2 linked regions of the Lonchura striata genome follow. The protein of the gene in region 1 purifies or fractionates together with the protein of each later gene. This does not show direct contact. Links are inferred from orthologs where the notes say so. Each region holds a gene or a part of one and is shown in the gene's direction. Other genes may lie near its edges.

Evidence for each region.
Region 2: the proteins of PRKAA1 (region 1) and PARS2 purify together in Homo sapiens (affinity purification with mass spectrometry; 3 studies listed by BioGRID and IntAct, with this or other methods). This does not show direct contact. The link is inferred for Lonchura striata from reciprocal best matches to the Homo sapiens genes PRKAA1 and PARS2.

What each region holds. Positions count from the first base shown.
Region 1 is NC_134642.1:35,979,497-35,987,499, forward strand, and holds the start of PRKAA1 (5'-AMP-activated protein kinase catalytic subunit alpha-1), read left to right. Parts: upstream 1-4,802; 5' UTR 4,803-4,844; coding exon 4,845-4,977; intron 4,978-8,003. UniProt on the Homo sapiens protein: Catalytic subunit of AMP-activated protein kinase (AMPK), an energy sensor protein kinase that plays a key role in regulating cellular energy metabolism.
Region 2 is NC_134611.1:8,827,930-8,835,590, forward strand, and holds PARS2 (putative proline--tRNA ligase, mitochondrial), read left to right. Parts: upstream 1-4,699; 5' UTR 4,700-4,728; intron 4,729-5,508; 5' UTR 5,509-5,526; coding exon 5,527-6,939; 3' UTR 6,940-7,024; downstream 7,025-7,661. UniProt on the Homo sapiens protein: Mitochondrial aminoacyl-tRNA synthetase that catalyzes the specific attachment of the proline amino acid (aa) to the homologous transfer RNA (tRNA), further participating in protein synthesis.

The sequences.
Region 1 (8,003 bases):
GAAAGGAAAGCCAAAAGCATGGCTGAGTCAAGACCTGCTTGCCAAACTGAAGGGCAAGAAGGAAACAAACAGGCAAGGAAGCAAGAGAAGGTATATTGGAGCAAGCATAGGTTCATTGCTCAATTGTGACAGGATAGAGCTAAGAAGGCAAGGTGTGGCTAAAGCAAGCCTGGGAAGGGATGTAAGAGGAAGAAGAAGGGCTTCTGTAGGCACGTGAGCCATAAGGGAAGGTTAAAGTGTAATTTGTCCCACAGTAAACATGGCATCAGTGACATAGGAGGATTGAGTGCACCCTCGGAGAATTTGCACTATCTGAGTGGCGTGGTTGTGACATGTCCAAGGAACAGGATGCCATGAAGAAGGACATGGACAAGATCAAACCAGCTCATGTGAATTTAAAGGTGCCCAGCAGGGCCAAGAGTAAGGTCCTGCACTCAAGGCAAATCCCAGCTGAGAGATAAAGGGATTAAGAGATACTCTATGAAGAAGGATTGAGGGTAATGGTGCTTGAAAAGCTGGACATGTGCCAGCAATGTGCACTTGCAGCCCAGAAACCAAAAAGACAACCACATCCAGGGCTGCATCCAGAGCAGTGTGGCCAGCAGGTCAAGTGAGGTCATTCTGCTGCTCTGTCTTCCTGTTTACAGAGAGACTTCATTCAGCTCTGGGATCCCCAGGACAGGAAAGACATGGTTGTGTTGGACCATGCCCCGAGAAGGGCCACAAAGAAGATTCAGGGGGCTGCAGCACCTCTCCTATGAATCCAGAGAGTTGGAATTATCCAGCCTGGAGAATAGAAGGCTCCAGGAAGCCATTCAATATTTGTAGAAGACCTGGAAGAAAGATGGGGACAGACCTATTAGAAGGGCCTGCAGTTACAGAACAAGGAGTAATTGTTTTAAACTAAAGGAGAGTTGATTCAGACTATGTAAAAGGAAGAAGTCTTTTTCTATGAGGCTGCTGAGACATTGGAACAGGCTGCCCAGAGAAGCAATATACTCAATATCCCAGAGAAGCTATAATACTCCCACTCCCTGGAAGTGTTTCAGAAGAGATTGGACTGGGCTCTGAGCAGCTTGGTCTAGTTGAAGAAACCCTGGCTGGTTGCAGGATAGGTTGGATTAGATAGAGGATCTTTACAGATGCCTTCCAACCCAAACCATTCTGTGATTTCTGCAGTGTCAACTTAGAAGCTAGAAACAGCAGAACAGATAAAAGCCTAGAGCTGGGCAAAACATACATTTTTATGGCGAGGAGAAGGAAAGTGAAAATAGTACCAGGCACTTGCAGAAGAAATGTGCTGTACATTCAGTGGCAATGTAGAGTCAGAAGTCAAAGAGAGAAGAGCAAGCAGCATGTGCCTGTTTGCAAAGCGCACCAATGATGCCAAGGAAGTCTTAATACCAGATAGTAGAAACAAGTCACATTAATGTTCCCCCTTTCATATTGTTAGTAAAGCTGAGAATGTTTTCTGTTTTGTCTTCAATCCTTTGTTTTCTTGTCTAATTATTACATCATCTCCCACTCCTGGTCTCCTTGCTGGCCCTGAACTGTACAGTGGCCATTGCAGTGTCTGGGCAGACATGCGTCAGGAAAGCCTTGCTGTATTCCTGAACCACAGCATTGGCTCCCTGTGTGTCACAAAGGGCACACATGCCAGGTCTCCATGCTGGTGGCACTTGTAACACTACACTGGGTAACACAGCTCTGGAGGATGTTTCCACAGAGTAGCAGTTCTATTTTTGCTAAAGTACTCTGATCTTCCTACTTACGGGAATAAATTATTGAAAATACAGAAACAATTTACATTTAAAAGAAAGAAATTGTACTAGGGGAATTAACAGCCATTTTCTGTCTCAAAATCAGGTTATGGAGATAATTGACAGAAATCAAGTCGGCTTTAAGTTCATTATTTATTTTAAATGCTGTCTTAGAAGTAGAGGCATGCCCAGTTGAATAAACAAACAGAAAAAGTGATTTTAAAATAGTGCATGGGTTTTTCAAGATAAATAGTGTAATGGAGAAGTTATCAGAAAGTAAGCTGGCCTCAAAGATTCATGGAATAATTCCTCTGGTATGTTTTGTTCTGCCAGCTATTCTAAGAGGACAACCTTCTCCCCACACCCTCACAATACATTATTCAAAGTTGCACTGTTGGCCAAAAAAGCTCAATCTTCCATTATGACTCTTACATGCAAAAGGTGAGAGAGTAAGTGCTGCTGATGATTAGTATTGTGAAGTGTTTATCACTACCTTTCACACTGAGTAAAGTTCAGGTAGCTGTGTTTGTATTGTACGTAAGCATCAAATACTAAAATATTAATCCATTGTGATGTTACTATAAGGCTTGGCCTAGATTATGCTTTATTTGACACAGGCTGGGGTACTTTACCTATTGTAGATTTTATGCTTTTATTCTTTTTTTAAAAGCAACTTGATGCTCAAGGTGTGACAAAGAACTTTGAGTAAAACTGAATGCAGTGATATAAGCATAAAAGTCGCAGTACAAATGGGCAAAATATTTTTGTGATACTAATTTTTGGCTGCAAATATAAAAGTCATGAATGGCTTCTACAGTCTAGTTCCTGTCTAACAGCTCATTCATTTTCATTTTCTAAAATGTTCTGGTATCTGAGTAATTAAGAGATTACTTAGTAATTAATTAAATGATATCACTTTCTAGTATAGACCTGTAGAGCTTTTTGAAGTCTCATTGTATTGTTCTTGATCAGGACAATAGCTTGAGTTAAAGCTAAAAATAGCTTGTAATCATTTGGTATCAAGACACTAACTCTGCAGACATCCCAAATAATTCTTCCCCCTTCAGCTAGCTATGGCTTAATCAACTCTTTCTTTTCCCAGTGTGATATTCAACACATAATTTTCTCCTCATACTACAATGAAAGTTTCCAAAATGTTAAAGTAATGCTTTTTGCATCACAAAAGAAAACTTGCCAGTTTTTCTTTTCCTGATGTTAGATTGCTATCCAATCCCACTGTGACAATAAATATTTTTCCCCAAAATCTCAGATCATGAACTATGCTGGTTTGTATATTCTGATTTTTGTGTGTGTTTGGTACTTGTGATGTACAAGATTTTTAGAGCCAAAGATCTAATATGAGGCCAAATAATTTTTATAATTATGCTTCAAATCTTGTACAGTTCTATTGTAGTGTAGTGTAATGTTACTATTGTAGTATAGCAGGATGCTCAAAGTTGGGTAAAACTGCTCAAACTTTGTCTTGTTAGCAAAAGTTATCAGAGGTGGATGGAGGAGGGGTGTCATGCTGCTTTTGGTGTTGAAGAATGCTGAGACCAGCCTGACTCAACTATTCAGTTAAACATCCTGAGGATGTGAGAAACAATATTTCTTGCCAGAAATTTGCCCTGATGAGGATGTGGCTAAGTTCCTGAGAAATGAACCCACAAATGACAATGCAGATAACTGAAGAGATAGCTCAGATAGCTGCTGAGCTAAAGGCTGATGAGCTGACACAGATGACCCAGAAACATCTGGCTGACAATCATTTTGTATATGTGGCTTATACACTACAAGAGCTCAGTCCCACTTTTTAATGCACCCATGTCTGACACTTCCCTTTCCAGAGTGAGGATATGAAGATTTCTCTCTTGAGTGGGAACACCCCTCAAGGGAGAAATCTTCATTACTTCCCTATGAAATTTTTTATGCCATTAGCATAGAGGAATTTTTAAAAATATACAATTTTTGCATATATGAGAATTTCTGGTCTCCAACTGTTAAATTAATGACTATAACATAAGTAATATTGAAGGCTCTCTGAATTGGATTTAGGATCATTAGAACATTAGGACACTAGGATAAAATTGTCCAAACTTTCTTGCTGTCTGATGTATTTATCTATTTGCAAACACATTCAGGGGCTATGCGTAGGGTAGGGAAAAGAAACCGTTTTAGATTTAATAATTCACTTACTCTGGAGCACTAGGGAAAGGCAGTGAAGGCATGGGAGTTGCCCATAACCTTCCTTGTCAATTGATGATCTCTTCATTTGAAAATACCCACCCAATAGTCACTCCTTCTCCAGGTTTATGTGTTTCTTTCAATGCGGGGTTGGAACGTGAATAAAAATTTAATCCAGTTATAGTCAACAAAAAAACAACTATGATCTTCAGTGTATAGAAAATACTCAATGTATGGAATGGAAGGCAAGTTACTGGCTTAAATGCAACGTGAATGAATAGTGAGAGTGGCTGGCAGGGCAAGCCAGACGGCAGAATACGTGGTCAAGGTAGTTAAGAGACCCCTGCTTTTCTTCGTATTCCTGTAACAGGGTCTGGATGAGTGAAGAGGAACTGAGGAGAACAAACAGATTTTATTTACAAGGCTATTGGAAACACAGAGCTGGGAGGCCCATTTTATGAGGGCGGGCTCGCTGCTGACGAGCAGCACCGCCCGCCCCGCCACCTCCCCGCTGGGCGGCCCAGCAGGGCCCGCTCCCCCCGGGGCACCCGTGGGCCGGCCCGGCCTCCCCCAGAGCCGCAATGGTTGGTCCTGGGCCAGGGCGGGAGGGAGGTCAGCGCGCCGGCCGCTTCCGGGTTGGGCGCGGGCGGGCGCTCTGTGGTTGCTCCTCCCGCCGGCGCTCTGGCGTGGCGCGGGCGGGCGCTCTGTGGTTGCTCCTCCCGCCGGCGCTCTGGCGTGGCGCGGGCGGGCGCTCTGTGGTTGCTCCTCCCGCCGGCGCTCTGGCGTGGCGCGGGCGGGCGCTCTGTGGTTGCTCCTCCCGCCGGCGCTCTGGCGTGGCGCGGGCGGGCGCTCTGTGGTTGCTCCTCCCGCCGGCGCTCTGGCGTGGCGCGGGCGGGCGCTATGCGCAGGCTCGGCCCTTGCCTCAAGATGGCGGCGGTGGCGGATAAACAGAAGCACGAGCACGGGCGGGTGAAGATCGGGCACTACATCCTGGGCGACACGCTGGGCGTCGGCACCTTCGGGAAAGTCAAGGGTGAGCGGGGCCGCGGGGCGATCGGAGCGCGGAGTGGGGCTTGTCCGGGCTGAGTTGCTGGGGTGGGACTGGCGGTCCCGCTGCGGGATGCAGCGGCTGGGCAGAAACAGCTTCCTCATCTGCGCTTGCGGAAATAACCGCTGAATGCTGTCTCTGTGTGGAACAACACCGGTCGTGTAACGAAAGCAGGAAGTCTTAAATCCTCGAGCTTCGTATATAGCATTTTGATGCTCAGGTATGAACTCTCGATGCCCTTGTACGGAAGGCAACATTGCTCTCTCAACAGAAAAATAAGCGTAAAAAGATGGGTCTGGGATTGTTGGATTATTTGGTAACACAGCTGATCTGCAGATACGGAAAACTTCATGTTCAATCCGCTTGACCAGTGGTTAACAACGTTTTTTGGTTTTTTTTCAGCTCAGATTTAAAAAAAAATTCCAGTGTAGGGCTATGGATGCTATACTGCTTATTTGGAGGCTAGTAGAAATAAGGTAGGATTTAAACTTCCCCATAGTGCCATTCACCGCAGGACTAAGCGTTAGTTTTCCTGTCGTGCTGCTTGTGAGAACTTAAAATATTGGGGCAAGCAAATCAAAAACATCCTTTCTCAAATGAGTAGAGCTAAGCCTGAGCTTAGCTCTTCATAAGGGTTGTGGTTCTTAATAGGTGCATAAAAACCGCAGCTTTCCCCCCCCTCCGTGTAGATAATCCATTGTATCTGCTCTGCACAACCTCTTTTAGCTATTGATGAGTTATGAAAAAAATCAATAAGGTATAGTAAATAGGATGATAATTTGCTCTAGGAAAGCAGTAAAAATATCTGGAAAGCACAGCCCTTCAAGTCTCTTTTTCAAGGGAAACTTATAAAAGAACAGCCCCAGCCATTTTGGAATAGTGACCTTTCCCCTCCCCCTCCCCGGTCTAGCAATTCCCATTCTTTTCTGTGGGAACTTAGTACTTCCTTGAGTAGAGAGAAAAGAGATGATGCAGCAGACAAGCATTAAGTTCTCTTTCCTCATGGAAGGACTGCCTGCTTGAGGGGAGGGGTCAAAGCTGTGTTTGTTTTGTGTTTTTTTTACCCAACATCCAACAGAAGACTAAGATTAACATACCATCAATGTTCTAGTATGATCCTAAATTTAGGAGAGTGCTGTTGTGCTACTACTTTTCTTGTCCCCATGTTATGTACTGTGTTACTTTTGTCTTGTTTCAGCTGTGCTTAATAAGGAACATTTTATCTATGATGCACTGGTTTTCCTCTTCAGCACACGTTTTCTTCATTTAATACCAGATCTACAATTGTTTTTCCTGTTTTCATAATTTCCTTCTCTGGTGATATGGTTTCATCAGTTGATATAAGGTGAAGAACATGTATTCACTTCTTAAAATTCAATTAGCATATACCTTGAGCTCAGGTAATGTAGGGGGTCAGACATTTGGCTAAGTGAATGTTTCACTCTAACAGTGATGGCAACCTGGAAAAATCAAACTGGAAAGTCAGTGCTTTATTTGATAATTGTGAAAGGTCTCCTGCCGTTGCTTTCTGATGAATTCATGCTGCTGATAGTTGTCACTGGTGTGATTCTGTCCAGTTTACAATTTTCACCTGTCTCTGCCACTCTGAATTAATTCTGAGTGACTTGGTTTACCAGACTGTGCCTCAGATGGGCAGTCTCAGAAATGGCTGTTCTGAGACATAATCTAGGCAAAGTTAAAATGCCACTGAAATGAAAAGCTGACATGGAATACTACTGAATGTAAACCAATTGTATGAGACACATTCATGTCCAGACTTTACTAGAATTCAGTGTAAAACTTTTTAAGCACTGCTGATGTTTCCTCCTGAAACTAGATGCTTCATTTCCTCCTGAAACTAGATGCACACTTATTTCCAGATACTTTTTTTCCAAGTTATCTTTCATAAAAGGAAGATAGGCTTCCAGTGGTCCCTACTGAGAATATGAGTGATATTACTTACAGCTCTAAATATACAATAATTGTTCCAGCTCTCTGTATCTAGAGTATCAATACTGTTCTGTATAGGTTGCAAACCAAGTAGTCTGGGTCAAGGCAACAATAAGAGACATTTGTGAACAAATGAACACTGTAGATCCCTATGGCATCTAACGTGCAGCAAGGTGGCTTTGCATAGCATGCACTATTCTTGTTTAGGATTTTTTACCTTGTTATTGAAAAAATTTATTTAGCTCATAATCCTAAAGACTGCTTCCCTCTGAGCTATGGATTGGCTTTTTGGCCTGCTGCAAATTTTTTCATTAAATACAACATAGCCTTCAGATTATTATTTTTTTCCTCTAAAAACTTAATGACTGATACCTGTATTTCATAAGTATGTTGTATTTGGTCTTCATGGCCTCAAAATCAGTTTTTTCTAATTGGAGAACTGTTGAACAAGATAGAGACTTGTCCTCCTGCACTTCTACAGTTAATAATAAGTTGCTGCTGCTTTGAGACTCTGTTGTTTTAATGAAAATATTGACACTATGCAAAGCCATATTATCAGAAAAAAAAAGAAATACAGGAATATAGTGTGTCTGTTAAATGAATTAGTTTTTTGGTTTTTTTTTTTCTGCAGAGATTATTTTGAAGGGCTGATAGCTAGTTGAACATTAGGGTGCGATCCCTTTTATAGGTAAAACTTCCATCAAGTGGTAATGAAAAGTAGATTTCAGGAAGGTAACACTGGCTGCTTACGTTTCTACATGATGTTATCATCTGGGGTGACGCTTTCACTTCTGTCCTAATGTTGAATTCAAAAGTGTCAGCAGTCTGTTACCAGCTGGTATCTGCTGTTTTACCGGTAACAGATACCTTGAACTGTATCCAGGAAAGGCTACTTGTATCTTAAAAGGCTAATTTGTTATAATTTCAAATTGAGTAAAAGTAATCCCAATATTTCTGAAGAAAATAGAGATTGAATTTGAAATGTCTTAAGCAAGAGAACAGACTTTTTGTGATATTTTTGCACTGGCATTGAACCACACTGTTTTCATTACAATAATTTA
Region 2 (7,661 bases), on another chromosome or scaffold:
AACATGTAATTACACCTAGATTTAATTAATCCTGTCTGGTCTAAACACTTGTACAAGACCTGATAAACTTAATTCTAGGAGAACCAACGTGCTCCCAGTACCTTTTTATGGCCAGCTTTTGTTGCTGCTGAGATTTTCTGCTCATCTTACTTTCTGCAGTGCCTCCAGGTTTTCATTCCCTGCTTGTCTTTGCTATGGGAGCTCTTTTTTAGACCCACTTCTCTGTGGAGTTGTGGTGGACCTAGGGCTACTCAGGTGTGGTAACACCACCCAGAACAGGTATGTGCAATTCCTCTAAGTAGCAGCAGAGTTTGAAAGGATGTGTTTAACCCTGAGTGAGCTGTGTGTGCCATCACACCTTCCTTGGGAGGATGTGCGGGGTCTGGCATCCTCTTAGGTATGTAATTTCTCTAAAGTCCCACCTGAAAACAGTTAATTTCTGCTCAATTGCAGTGTCATTGCCCCCCTCCTTTAGGTCTCCATGTTCAGCCAGGCAAAGGGAGGACAGGATATCCCCTCTGTCATGCTTTCTGTGGTCCCTATCTATCCCAGGGAAGGCATGGTACAATTCCAACACTTTGTCTCTCTTGTCCTTTGCTCCTGGGCCTCCCCAGCTCCCATCAGCCACTGCCCTGTGAATTGCAGGCTCCTGGCTGCTCCTGAGGTTCCCCCAGTTTGAGGAACCCTCTGAGGAGCAGGCTGGTTGTGCCAGCAGCAGAGCCACTCACCTCAGCAAGTGATACAACCACAGTGGCACATCTTAACCAAAGGGAGCCCACGCTGCAGGGGAGGGAGGAGGACACAGCACCCAGTGAGCCCCACCACTCCTCCAGGAGCAGCTCTGGTCACAGCAGGCCATAAAGAGTTGATTATCCCTGCAGGCTTGAGCTCTCTCACCAGTCCCCTCCTGCCAGCTGCAGTGAAGGGCAGCAGTGTCACAACCTCCCCACTCAAGTGTAATCTGAAAGTTCCCCACCAATTATGAAGATGTCTTGACCTCTTTCAAGCTGCCTGTTCCTCACTCAGCTGGATAAAGGAGAGAAGCCATGTGGATTCCTGCTGATCATCCCTAGCCAAGGTGGACTGTTTCAGACAAAAGCTTTCCCTGTCTGCTTTGAGCCCTTTAGGCTTTGTTCTGGTTCTCCATGGGGAAGCTGCCAAGATGAATACAGCTCCAGGAATGGGTACTGGGGGAAGGGCTCCTACCTGCACTGGCTCTGCAATGTGCTGCTGATGCTGCTAGAGGAAAAACTGGCTTTTAAGCAGCAGAGAATGACTTTTTGGAGGATACAAGGAGCTCCTGGCACCTAAAAGGACCCAGCTGCCCTCATCCATGAAGTGTCTCCGCTTGCTTGCAGGTGAAACAGAGCAAAACTAATGGGAAGGGTTGTCCAAGCATCCCTTGAAAAGGGCAAAGGCCTGAGGATGCAGGCAGAGGTAATGTGGGCACTGCTGAGCTCCTGCCAGGCTCACCTGCCTGTGGGCAGCGTGTTCTCCCTGCTGGGTGCTCAGCACATCCCGTGCTTCCACCCCAGGCTGCTCCCAGCTTGAGCTGCGTGTGCTGGACCATCCTGTGCAAACAGCCCCTGTGCAAGGAGCACAGGCAGCCTGGGAGGTGAGAAGAGTAAGTCCAGCTGCCTCCACACGTGCAGCTCTCACCTAGCTGCCCATGTCTCCAGGACTGCCTGCAGCCACCTGCTGACAGCTCTGGTCCCCAGGGACCACAGGGATGGTGGCAGCCCTTGCCATGGCAACCATCACCGTGGCACCCAGCATCTCCATGCCCCCGGGAATGTCCCCTCCCCTGTGCAGGCAGGGCTGGAAAGCAGCAGGGAAAAAAACAAAGTGTTGTCTGCTCAAGAGGAGCTGTCTGGAAGCACCCCAGGGTTACCCCAGAGGGAACACTGCACCTTGGGTAGCTGCCAGGGCACAGGGGGTGTGCAGTAATTTTATATTTCCCAGCTACTCCCCAAGGGGCAAATCAAAGGCAGGACCTGGAATCGCTACTCCAGTGGGCATAAAAACGTTGTCCAGCAGTTACAGTAATATCAGTGGAGGGGATCAAATCAGTGAGCCAAGGCTGTGGGCCAGCACCCTGGGGTCACAGGCCCTACAAGCTGTCCACAGGTGGATGGGATGTGCCACCACTCTGTGCCCACCCCAAGCCCAAACTGCAAATCCTCTGCAGGATGGAGAGAGGTTTGACCACTGAATGACTTGGCCTCTCCCCTGCCCTGACTTCTTTTCCCTAGCCCTATCCTGGTGCTACCTGGGGATGCTGCTGGAAAGGGAAGAACCATTTTCCACCAGCTCAGTGGTTACTCCCACACTGACCCCTTGATCTCTTTGGTGCTGCACCAGGCACTGATTCAAGACAGCTGCTATTGCCTGCTTGGTCTTTCATTTATCTTTCCCCATCCTCAGCATTTTTCCTCCCGGAAATCCCTCGGGGCAAAGAGAGAGGCCCCAGACAGGAGCTGAGCCCCTCCTGTGCAGGGCATGCCCCTCTCAGGCCACTCTTTTGGCCCCAGTGCCATAAATCAGCCCCAGCAAAGCAGCAGGGGAGCAGTTTGGTGAAAGGCTGCAGGGGCAGCAGTACCTTTATTAGGTTCCCCCAGCACAGCTGGAAAAAATAAGGAGCCCAGACAGGCTTTCAGGCACATAACCCCTGAGCTGAGCCCTGCATTCGGTCCTGTCTGCTGATTTAATAACAGATCAGCTTTCCCCACAGACCACATCTCCTGTGTAGCCTTAAACCCTCCTGGTTAAAACACTGCCCCAGAGAATCAATCCAAGATGGTTTTGTCCCTTTGATCAGCACAGCAGGTAATAAGTCACTGACGGAAATGTGTTTCACTTCTCTGGCTCCAACAATAGAAATGGAGACAACCCTCTGTCCTGAACTGCCTGGTGAAAACCTCACAGTTCCTGGGCAAGTAGGAGGAGATGGACAAAAGGCTTTGTAGGGTGGCTGTGGAGGTCCCCAGGGACACACAGCAGCACCTGGCTGTCCAAGGTGTGAGCAAATTCCCTTCCCACAGGGATCCATCCCAATCTCCAGCCTCAGAGACAGCCACAGCGTTTACAGTGCCTGTCTAATTGTGGTGACAAGCACAGATTGCCTGACAAAACCAGGTAAGGCTGGTCTGGGAGCTGCTGAGGGACTCCCACAGGTGCCTCTGGGCACACAGGTGGTTGAGTCACCTGGCAGAACTGGCTCAACTGTTTAATGACTTTAATGTTTCTAGATAGCCCAGAGCATCACATGTGCTCCTTAATTCCTTGCTTTTGCCCATATCCAGTCCTCTGTAAACAGGAGTGCACATTACATTATAAAAGAATTGTGAAGATTTCTTCAAATCCCATTTTTAAAATAAGGGTTTCTTCTTCTTTCCCTCTATTTAAAGAGGATTATTTAACTCTTCTTTGAAGTGCTGTCTCCTCCTCCAGTGGAGTGCTTTAGTGTGTGCTCCGGAGATGCTGAACTCCCTCTGAGCTGAGGGAGGAGGCTGGAAAGTGCAGTGTGGAGGTGGTCACTGGGTGTCAGGCGATGTGTGTCTGCCAGACTGGGTTGGAGAGAGCTGGAATGAGCTAAGAAGGTGGCTTTTGATCTCTCAGCCTTCCTTCAGGTACCCTCCAAGTGCTTCTGTCCCTGAACACTCAGTACATGCTGCCCCAAGACTGAGCCTGGAAGGGGAAGCAGATGGACTCATTACTTTCAAGGACCCTTTTTTTCCTGTCTTGGCTCTTTTTACTATTTTTCACTGTTACACGAGGGTGAAATCTGTGCAAGAACTGTTCCTGGTGGACAGAACTCCTGGGCCAAGCGGCGGAGTTTGACCTGGATGATGCCATTCCCAAACTGCAGCTCCTCAGGGACAAACAGAAAACATTTGGCATCGAGTGCTTCGAGCAGGTCATTGCCCTGGGGCAGTGTGGCTCCACCGAGACCTTGTGGTGCCTCCTGCAGACGCCGCTTTGGGCAGGTGAGGCTGGAGAAGCACCAAGGCATGGACAGAGCAGGGGGTTCAGAAAGACGAGGAGTTCCCAGGCGGTGCCTGCGGAGCTGAGGGCTGTGTGCCATAACCACGCTCTGGACACGACCCAGCTGTGCAAAGCCATGACCGGGGGGAGGATGGAGCTGCCAAAGTGCTCTTTGAGGTGAAGAACATCAGTTCTTCCAAGGCCAGGATGTACAAGTGGTCACTGTCCCTCTGAGCCGGTGGGACGGCAGCAAGCTCCACAGCAGCAGCCTCTCCCAAGAACCAGGAGCTTCTGGGTTTTCCAAGCCTTGGAAAGGCGTCCCAGTTAGGAAGGGATGCCCAAACCGTGGGGGTGCCATTGCTGGGATCGCTGTCCCCGTGTGATCGCTGTCCCTGCCCTGTCCCCGTGGGATCGCTGTTCCCGTGTGATCGCTGTCCCCGTGGGATCGCTGTCCCTGTCCTGCGCTGTCCCCGTGGGATCGCTGTTCCCGTGGGATCGCTGTCCCTGTCCTGCCCTGTCCCCGTGGGATCGCTGTCCCCGTGGGATCGCTGTTCCCGTCCCGCCGCCGCCCGCCGCCCCGGGCGCTGCGCACGGTCCTCCCGCCCGGCAGGGGGCGCCCGCCGCGCCCGGCGGAACCAGCGAGAGCGGCGCGCGCCGCCCCTCTGCCGCGTGGGTCCGCCCGCGTGACAGGGAGGGGCTCCCCATTGGCCGCGCCGGCGGGGCCGGGCGCGCGCCCCCGCGGCCGTAAGTGCGCGCGCGGGTGTGCGTGTGCGCGTGCACGTGTGTGTGTGCGCTCCGGTGTGAGTGTGCGCTCAGGCGTGAGTGTGCGCTCAGGTGTTCCCCCGTGGCATCCCCGCGTATCCATGCCCGTACCTGCACATCCCGGAAGGTGTTCCCGCGTGGGCAGCATCATCCCGCTTGTGTGCCGCTCTGCCCGTGCCGCGTTCGTGCGTGTCCGTGTGCGGGTACCGGGGTGTCCCGGGAAGCGCGCAGGGCTGTGTGAACGCCGTGCAGCATTCCCGTGTGATGGGGTACCTGTATGTGCACACCGCGTGTGCCCGTGCAGCATTCCCGTGTGACGGGATACCTGTATGTGCACACCGGGTGTGCCCGTGCAGCATTCCCGTGTGACGGGGTACCTGTATGTGCACACCGGGTGTGCCCGTGCAGCATTCCCGTGTGATGGGGTACCTGTATGTGCACACCGGGTGTGCCCGTGCAGCATTCCCGTGTGATGGGGTACCTGTATGTGCACACCTGGGTGTGCCCGTGCATCATTCCCGTGTCCGGGTACCTGTATGTGAACACCCGGGTGTGCCCGTGCAGCATTCCCGTGTGATGGGGTACCTGTATGTGCACACCTGGGTGTGCCCGTGCAGCATTCCCGTGTGACGGGGTACCTGTATGTGCACACCCGGTGCGTGTGGGTCCGTGTGAGCTCTGACACCCGTGTGCGTGTCAGGGTGGCGCAGTCCCTGCGCTGTGTCAGCGCTGACCCCCGCTCTGTCCCCTCTCTCTCCGCAGCCCCTCTCCGTGCCCGCCATGGAGGCCTTGCTGAGGAGCTGCCGTCTCCCGGCGCTGGGCGCTCGGCAGTGCGGGATCAGGGCCCGGCACGGCGGCGCCCCGGGCAGGGCCAGGCGCCTGCGGCTCTCGCAGCTCTTCCAGCCGCTGGCCCTGCCCGTGGGCAGCCAGGTGGGCTCCGAGGGCCGGCCCGGGGAGCCCACCTGCCGCAGCCAGCGGCTGATGCTGCAGGCGGGGCTCATCCATCCCACCAGCCCCGGCTGCTACTGCTACCTGCCGCCCGCCGTCCGCGCCATGGAGAAGCTGATCCAGGTGATGGACGAGGAGATGCAGGCCGTGGGTGGGCAGAAGCTGAACCTGCCCAGCCTGTGCTCGGCGGAGCTGTGGCGCGCCAGCGGCCGCTGGGACCAGATGGGGCCGGAGCTCTTCCGGCTGGTGGATCGGCACGACCACGACTACTGCCTGGGCCCCACGCACGAGGAGGTGGTGACGGCGCTGGTGGCCTCGCAGACCGGCCTGTCCTACAAGCAGCTCCCGCTGCGCCTCTACCAGGTCACCAGGAAGTTCCGGGACGAGCCCAAGCCCCGCTTCGGCTTGCTGCGCAGCCGGGAGTTCTACATGAAGGACATGTACACCTTCGACAGCTCCGAGGAGGCGGCTCGGCGCACCTACGAGCAGGTGTGTGCTGCCTACTGCAGCCTCTTCACCCGCCTGGGCCTGCCCTTCGTCAAGGTGCAGGCGGCCACGGGCAGCATCGGTGGCAGCACGTCCCACGAGTTCCAGCTGCCGGCAGACATCGGCGAGGACAGGCTGCTGCTGTGCCCTCAGGGGCATTTCGCAGCCAACGTGGAGACGCTAAACGGGGAGCAAACCTCGTGCCCCACGTGCGGGGAGAAACTCACCGAGACCAAAGGCATCGAGGTGGGGCACACGTTTTACCTGGGCACCAAGTACTCCTCCGTCGCCAACGCCGTCTTCTCCTCCGCCGAGAACAAACCCCAGCTGGCAGAAATGGGCTGCTACGGCCTGGGCGTCACTCGCATCCTGGCGGCCTCCATCGAGGTGCTCTCCACCGAGGACAGCATCCGCTGGCCCAGCCTCATCGCGCCCTACCAGCTCTGCTTCATCCCCCCCAAGAGGGGCAGCAAGGAGGAGGAGGAGGGAGCGGCGCTGCTGGAGCGGGTGTACGATGAGCTGGCCGAAGCGCTGCCCCAGCTCGCTGCCGACTCGGTGCTGGACGACCGGAGCCAGCTGACCATCGGCAAGAGGCTGAAGGATGCCAAAAGGCTGGGCTATCCCTACGTGGTGGTGGCTGGGAAGAGGGTCTGCGAGGACCCCCCGGTCTTTGAGGTTTGGAATCAGAATGCCAGCGAGGTTTTGTTCCTCACCAAAGAAGGCGTCATAGAGCTGCTGAGTAAAGTGCAAGTCCCTTAAGTGCCTCCTCTCTGAATCCATCATCTCTGCTGCAGTGAGTTCATCTGGGCAGCCCTGGCGATGGCTCTGGGTGAGCAGAGGCAAATCCAGCTCACATCAGAGCCATTTGCAGCATCCTGCAGGTGTGCCAGGTGCTGAGGTTGAGCTGGAATCAGCCTACATTCCCCCACATGGTTGGGGACATTCCTCCCTCTGGGTACAGCTGCCTGGAAGTTGCTTTTTCCAGCACTTGTAGCCTCGTGTGGCTGTGGGAGCACTGGCAGGGCCAACCCCTCACTGCCTGGCAGGGATGGACTGGCCAAGGTCTCTGTCACGGAACAGCAAAACTGCCCAGGGCGACAGGAGGGCTCCCCTCACTGCCTCAAAGGATTCTAAGAGAGACAAAGAAAGGTGACTTCCCTGTGTTTGCATTTTCCTTCAGGAACACCCACGTCCCATGAAGGTGGAAGCTTGCCATGGCAGGCCCAGGGCTCCTGTGAGGAGCTGCTTGGTGCCATCCCAGCAGCACAGACGGGACAGGGAGCTGCATGGAGGGGTCACCTCACCCTGTGCCGCAGCTCCTCGGTCTGGGATCTAGAAATCATGAGCTACACTGTAATAAAATCACAGAATCGTTAGGTTGGAAAAGGCCTTTAAAATCATTGAGTCCAGCCATTAACCTGAGCTGCCAAGGCCACCTGTAACCCGTGTCCCCAGGTGCCCGTTAAATCTCTCCAGGGATG